2 linked regions of the Cricetulus griseus genome follow. The protein of the gene in region 1 interacts with the protein of each later gene in a biochemical or structural test. Links are inferred from orthologs where the notes say so. Each region holds a gene or a part of one and is shown on either strand. Other genes may lie near its edges.

Region 1 (3,822 bases):
ACTCTTTCATTCCACTTATAAATCATCTGCTTGGCTGGTGCCTAGGGTCTGTCCCCAACACTATCTGGCCTGTGCCCTGGATCCCTTTCCTGCAGGGATTTATTCTTCATAAGCCTACACTGGGCTCAAAGCCCACCCTACACCCTACTGATGGACAGAACCAGGAGAGTCCTGTGCCTCTCACTAGGCTCCCCCAGCCTCCTCTCGAGCACAGGGGACCTACAGGGTTGTCTTTGCTAGACTTGACTGCAGCAAAGTGGTCTGTACTGGTCTCCTAGCTGAGCTGTGGTGGCGCTGGCCCCACAATCCTCTTTCCTCCCCTACAGGCCTTCCAGCTGCAGGAGTTTGACCGACTGACCATCCTCCGAAATGCCCTGTGGGTGCACTGTAACCAGCTCTCCATGCAATGTGTCAAGGATGATGAGGTGTGTGGGCTGGGAGAGGGCATCTTGGTGAGCTCGGGTCTTCTGGGGCCCTGCCAGCATCTCCCCAGACCTCTGCGGTTCACATGAGTCTGACAGGGCCCCTGGCCTACTCTCCAAACCTTGAACATTGTACTCCTGTGGTTCCCTGCATCTGCTTCTCCTCCCTGCTCCTACACTCAGGGCACCTGCCCCTTCAGGGCTGTGTCCATCCACTCTCGGCAACACAGCAGAGACTTGCTGAGGGCTGGAGGGGCTGGTGGGAACCTGGTCTAGGTTCTCTCACACTCCTTCCCCGTAGCTCCTTCAGGGTCTCTGTCACCTTACAGAGCCCAACACTCAGGGCTGGCCAGGGGGCTACCACCTACACCAGGGCAGCTCTTGACCACTCCTGCCTATGAGCCACCTGATCCTAGTGGTAGCAACAGGTGTGGGCTCTGATACCCTGGCATGCCACTTCCCTTTTCGTGCGTTCTCCCATCTTAAAACAGGTTATACCTTGGGCCTCAGAGGACTACAGTGAGCCGGGCCTCTTCCCGGGACTCTGAGCTTGGTGTTCAGGAAACTTCGGAACATCAGTCAGGTCACTAATTTCTCTGGCAGGCCTGACATCCCAGCACTGAGCCTGAATTATATAGCAAGACTAGGTATCAAGGTGACTGGCAAGGGCAGATATTGGGGTGAAGCCTGGACACAGCCTTTGTTCATTCCCTACCCACAGCTCTATGAAGAGGTACGGCTGACACTTGAAGGCTGTAATGTGGACGGTGACATCAATGGCTTCATCCAGTCCAAGAGCACTGGCAGAGAGCCCCCAGGTAAGACCCAGCCTGTGGGCGGCTTAGCTCCCGGAGCCAGGCCTGGCTAGCCCACACTTCCCGATTGAGTTCAGTTGACCACACGTAGGCTGGGGGACAGTACATTCTGGGACTGGGCTCTTGGCTTATTTCCCTTAAGGTTTAAAAGGAACAGAGCTGAGTGCTCTAGTGTTCTCAGGAGCAAGAGAGGAGGATGGGAAATTTTAAGGAGGTCACAGTAGAACGGTCTGCACCAATCCCGACCTGTTGTATAAAATCACAAATGCAGAATTCTGGGCTGGAGAGACAGCTCAGTGGCTAAGAGCGTCTGCTGCTCTTGCAGAGGAGCCATTCAGTTCAGCATCCACATCAGGCAACTCACGACGGCAGCTCCAGGGAATCCACACCTCTGGCTTCCACATGAATGCATACACATCTACACATAATTAAAATTAACAAAAATCTTTAAAAACAAAAGCCTGGCATAGTGAAATATGCCTTTAATCCCGACGCTTGGGAGGCAGAGGCAGAGGCAGGTGGATCTCTGTGAATTTGAGGTCAACCTGAGTTACATAGAGGGACCCTGTCTCAAAAAACCAAAACAACAAAAAAAATTCTGGTCCAGAGCCATAAGGGGTAAGTGGGGCCAGGTACAGTCCGCAGGCCGCGCTACTCTAGGCCTTGTGCATTTTCTCTCTTCAGCTCCGGTGCCGTATCAGAATTACTATGACCGGGAAGTCACCCCACTAATTTGCAGCCCTAGTGTCCAGCCATCCTGTGGTGTGATAAAGAGGTGAGACACGGATGGACTGAACAGCTCCCTGTAGGTCTGGTGCCCTGTCCAGGTACAGGGTACTCCACGGAGATATCCCATGATCAAACTACCCTCAGGGAGCCCTCAGTCCAAGAGGAACCAAGTACTAATCACTCACATTGCAATTACTGACCAGTGGCTATGCTGAGACCTGGGCAAGTGCCTCATCTGGCTCCCTTGGCCTCACCGTGAGGGGGGATATAGTGTCTTAACTGTCAGGCAGCAATGATGGCACTCTCCAGGTGGTTTAAAAGTGGCCCAGAGCCCAGGCATTTGGAGAATTCACCAGGTTTTTACAGGGCCACCTCCTTAGCCTGGTTGTCATCAGGTGCCAGGATCCTTGTTTTGTGCCCTGTGAGTGACCGGGTCTAGTCACCATGGGCCAAAGGAAGGAAGACTTGCTTGGTTCAAACTGGCTGGGCCTGGTAAAATGTGTGGGAGAAGAACTTTAAGCGCAGCTTCTTCCCATGCAGGGCAGGGTGGGGGTGTGTATGTCGTGTCTCTCCCGGGGTTAGGGCCCTGCTGGTTGCAGGTGCTGAGATGACCAGGAGTGTATGGGAGGGGGGTGCTGAGGATGAAGGCACTGCCAGAAATGGCCTGTGGGGTGGCCCGGAGATGTGGCCACAGGCTGGCAGAGGTCCCTGAGTGCTGAGAATTTCAACAAGTCCCTCTGCTTCCCATGAGGTTCCGCCAGGCCTTCCCCTCTTCCTCCAGGTTCTCTGGGCTGCTGCATGGAAGTCCCAAGATCACATCTTCTCAACTACCTGCTGGTAAATGAGGGGGGAGGGGATAATGGGACAGGGGACATGTCACCTAAGACTCCAGAGGAGGAGAGAACTCCTACATAGCAGCATAGGTGGAGCATTAACACCCCAAAGGGAAAGGTATACTGTCCAAGAGCGGGAATGGCGTTGGGATCAAGCCCGCCCCCAGCAGTCTCCAGGGACCACTGTCCTCAGGGAGGGGGCTAATTCCAGTCTCATCTTGCTCTCAGCTTCCACAGATTCTCTGGCTCCTACTCCTGAGCACAAAGAGTTGGTCTATGCAGCCATCGACGTGCAGGCAACACAGGGGAACCATGACACATCAGCCCAGAACTACCGGGCGCTCTATGACTACACAGCACAGGTGAGGCATTTGCCCTTTGGCTAGAGGGTACCCATGCCTAGGCATGAGCACTTAGACCAGCACCAGAGTTTAGTGAACATCTGCTGGGCTGCTAGCTGCACAAATCTGCACGCATGGAGACCATAAGGCTGACAGCTCAGGGCTGCTGTGGACCCAGAGACCCACAATGGCCAAAATGAGGCCCTGGAACTGACATCCTTGGAGAAAGGCGATCAGGGCAGCCACAGAACGACTGCTGAGATGGATTCCAACTCGAGCAGTGGCTGAAGTGAGGGTGAAGACCTGGAAGGCATGCAGGCTGGACGTGGGCTGCACTAACCGAGGTCACATTCAGGGATTCAGGCCTGTGGAGTAATGGGGTACTCAGGTGACAGTAGATGGCTGCATAGTTAAGTCTAAGAGAGCTTGCTCTTGGGGTGTGACAAATGCCTTTGAGATGCTGCAGTGGTTGGAGCAGTGAGAAAAGCCCAGGATAGGAGGTCTCCATGACAACCTGAGCAAGTTAGGAGGCCAAGTCTCTCGGGGAACCTCACAGCCTGTCTGTCTCCAAAGGAACTACCCTAGAGGCCTGAGCATGACTCAGCAGACTATTCACCCTGGGAGCCCAACATGCGTGGATTGCCAAGGTGGAGTGTCAGATTACAGCCCACCCAGGAGACCC
Region 2 (3,826 bases), on another chromosome or scaffold:
CGAGTGCCAGGATAGGCTCCAAAGCTACACAGAGAAACCAAAAGAATAAGAATAAGAATAAGAATATCCAGCAACAGTAAGTGCAAAACGTGCCCCGTGCTGGGTGATTCGGTCTTCCTAAGTGGAAACTCTCCACTGTCCCCATTTTGCAGATGAAAGCTGATGTAGGAAGCGGTTGAGCAACTTGCCAAAGGTCCCACAAAGAGCTTGCCCTCCAGACCTGCACACTCAATCCACATTATACTGTATCATAAGTAATAAAATGCGCATTATCTGGACCCAAAAGTTTTCTCAGTGGGTAAAAGCACTTGGCGTTCAGGCCTGAAGATTTGTACTCAATCCCCAGATCCCACACCATAATAAGGAGTGAGAAGCAACACCAGAAACTTGTTCTCTGACGTCTACATAGGTGCTGTGGTACGCAAAAGATCTCCATCCCCAAACAAATGAAACTGGGGTGAGGGAGATGGCTTAATGGGTAGATTTAAAAATAAAAGCCTTATATAAGATACAACATGACAATATATCATATATATGAGTTATAATATATAACTTATAAGAAGATTCTATAGGTACTCAGTGAGTTAGTGCATGAGTGCATGAGTGAGTAAGTGCATGAGTGAGTGAGTGCATGAGTGAGTGCATGAGTGAGTAAGTGCATGAGTGAGTGAGTGCATGAGTGAGTGTATGAGTGAGTGAGTGCATGAGTGAGTGAGTGCATGAGTGAGTGTATGAGTGAGTGAGTGCATGAGTGAGTGAGTGCATGAGTGAGTGAGTGTATGAGTGAGTGAGTGCATGAGTGAGTGAGTGCATGAGTGAGTGCATGAGTGAGTAAGTGCGTGAGTGAGTGAGTGCATGAGAGTGAGTGCATGAGTGAGTGAGTGCATGAGTGAGTGCATGAGTGAGTGAGTGTATGAGTGAGTGAGTGCATGAGTGAGTGAGTGCATGAGTGAGTAAGTGCATGAGTGAGTGAGTGCATGAGTGAGTGAGTGCATGAGTGAGTGCATGAGTGAGTGAGTGAGTGCATGAGTGAGTGAGTGCATGAGTGAGTGCATGAGTGAGTGCATGAGTGAGTGAGTGAGTGAGTGAGTGAGTGCATGAGTGTGTGCAAGATTCCGCATGGAGCCCTCAGAACTGCTTTCTTCATCAACCTGAAAGTTATACCACATGCATATTTATACACATTTTCTTGTTTATAAATTCTATATTTTAGGTCTGGTGGTGATGGCACACATCTTTAATCCCAGCTCAGGAGGCAGAAGCAGGCAGATCTCTGTGAGTTTGAGGCCAGCCTGGTCTATAGATTGAGTTTCAGGACACCCAATGCTATATATATATATATATATATATATATATATATATATATATACATATATATATGTATGTATATATATGTAATACATATTTCTTATGTTATAATATTTACATGTGTAAATTATTTAGATTCACATTCAATTTATATTTTTTGTTCTGTATTTTACTTGCAAACTTAATAAGTTCGGTTATTGATGTTTGTTGTATTATTATGGTATTGTCATTGGTTTATTTGGTTTGTTTTTTGTTTGTTTTGTTTTTTGTTTTTTGTTTTTTGTTTGTTTGTTTGCTTTTTGGCTTTTTGAGACAAGGTTTTTAATATAGCCCTGGCTATCCTGGAGCAATCCAAGTAAACCAGGCTGACCTCAAATTTACAAAGAACTGCCTGCCCCTGCCTCTTGAGTACTGGGATTAAATGTGTGGGCTACCACAGTGTTATATTGTCATCGGGTTACATAATGGTCTTTGTGTAAACTATCTTTTTCTTTCTTTGAGACAATCTCACACTGTATTTCAGAGTGGCCTCAAATTATGTAGCTCAGGCTGGCCTCGAACACACTGTGATCCTCCTGCTTTAGGCTACCAATTGCTGGAATTATAGGCATGTGCCACCATGCTAGGCTGTAAGTGGTCATTTAATGTCGCATTTGTTTTTATATATTTATACTGCATATTTCTAAGTATGATACAGCATGTTTACATATTTGGATCATGTCACCACATTTAAAATTCTTCATTGTTTATTGTATGCCACCACATTTAAAATTCTTCATTACCTATTGTATGCCATGCCTACTAAGTGGTAGTCCCTCTCACGGGTTTGATTGGCAATGCCTGATGCAGTTTTTGTAAGCCGTGTTAAAGGCACCTAACCAGTGAGTACCCAGTATGTGCTAATTTCTTAGACCAACTTGGCTTTTAACATTCATATTTTCAAAACAGTTGGAACTTGAGACCAGACTTCCCATGGTCACAGTTCTGAAAGGCCCTGGGCATAGACTTGAAACTGGAAACTCCGGAGTTCAAAGGCTAAACGACAAAGCTTCCCTGTTCCTCTTTCTGCTGCCCCAAACCACTTCCTCCCAGGGATTACAAGGTGACCCAGGAGTGGCCCGGGTGGGGGACTGGAGTCCAGCGCAGGTGTGCTGCCTCCCTTCCCAGCAGCAGCCACCGCTCTGCTAGGGAGAAGGGTCGCTCCGGGAGCGCTACACAGACGCCTGAGTGTGTCCCATGCCTCCCAGGCAGCCGTGTACTTCACCCTCGGGGCACCTGAGGGCAGAGAGAGAAAGGCAGAGAGAGTGTGAGAGCGCGACAGAGGTGCTGGGAGAGGAAACCAGAGAACCGGAGGCAGGAGACGTCCCGGGAACCGAGAGAAACAGGCAGAGCTTTCACATTGCACAGGTGGACAGCGGTGGGGACAGCCTGGCTGCGAAGCTTGATCTCTGGAGTGTCACTCACGCTGAACTCGCGGGCAAGGATTGCTTCCTCCCGGAGGTCCCGGGCCTCCAGCTGCTCCAGGAAACTCCGCACCAGGTCCAAGTGGCGACTCATGCTGCGACCCGCCTGCGAGGTCTGTGCACGCGGCTGTCGGACCCCCCAAGAGTTTAGACAGTGCGGGACGGGGCCTCGGTTCCAGCAGCCAATGAAGACTGGTATTGGCGGGAAGGTTACGCCCCCCAGCCAATCGCATTAGGAATTCATTCTGCTTTGCCATGCCCACAGGCTCGGGCGGAGGCTGGTGTAGAAGTGGAAGTCCTGCGGCTGTCCCACCCGCAATTCCCCGATGGCGCCTCAGGTGCCTAGACTGCTATGCAGGAGCGGTGGAGTCCTCCCGGAACGCTCGGACCCGCTTGAACCAGTTCCTAGATCGGGCTCACCTCCACGCCCCTTTCCCGGTGGATGGCTGCGCTCTTAAAGTCGCAGGCCAGGTTCCTAAGTAGTGAGGTGAATCCAGCACCTCACTGGTGCAAATGAGTAGTGAGGCCACTCAGCCTGCAGCTCGCGAACATCCACAGCTGCGCCTGTTTTTTTTTTTTTTTTTTTTTTTTTTTTTTTTTCTCTATGGAACCTGCTGGCAAAGCGGGGACATCATGATCTAGTCCCAACATGAAGCTCTTAACCCACACCCTTCTAGGAAGAAGAGAACTGGAAAAGAGTTCACGGAAAAAACAGATCTCAACACTAGAAGACAACACCCACAGCTGCTAAAGCTCCTGGGATCCTGGGAAGGGGGCCGCTCTAAGGTTGTAGCTGACTTGGTAGAGTGTCTGCCTAGCATGAAGGAAGCTCTGGGGTTCGTTTCCAGCACCCCATAAGTCCCAGAATCCAAAAGGTGGAGGCAAGAGAACCAGAAATTCAAGGTCACCCTCGCTTACACTATGAGCTCAAAGATAGGTTGTGATGCGCGAAACCCTGTGTCATAAGGGGAGAAAAGGAGTGGGCTTTTTTTGTGTTTGTTTGTTTTGTTTTGTTTTTTAACGATGGGGATTGGTGAGATAGTTCAGTGGGTAAA

What was found.
Region 2: the proteins of Pstpip1 (region 1) and Ptpn18 form a complex in vitro, tested with the Homo sapiens proteins (2 studies listed by BioGRID and IntAct). The link is inferred for Cricetulus griseus from reciprocal best matches to the Homo sapiens genes PSTPIP1 and PTPN18.

Annotation. Positions count from the first base shown.
Region 1 is NC_048597.1:167,635,350-167,639,171, forward strand, and holds part of Pstpip1 (proline-serine-threonine phosphatase-interacting protein 1), read left to right. Parts: intron 1-326; coding exon 327-425; intron 426-1,143; coding exon 1,144-1,240; intron 1,241-1,921; coding exon 1,922-2,012; intron 2,013-2,717; coding exon of another isoform or gene 2,718-2,747; coding exon 2,748-2,803; intron 2,804-3,027; coding exon 3,028-3,161; intron 3,162-3,822. UniProt on the Homo sapiens protein: Involved in regulation of the actin cytoskeleton. May regulate WAS actin-bundling activity. Bridges the interaction between ABL1 and PTPN18 leading to ABL1 dephosphorylation.
Region 2 is NW_023276807.1:13,569,814-13,573,639, forward strand, and holds the start of Ptpn18 (tyrosine-protein phosphatase non-receptor type 18), read right to left. Parts: upstream 2,996-3,826; 5' UTR 2,866-2,995; coding exon 2,773-2,865; intron 1-2,772. UniProt on the Homo sapiens protein: Differentially dephosphorylate autophosphorylated tyrosine kinases which are known to be overexpressed in tumor tissues.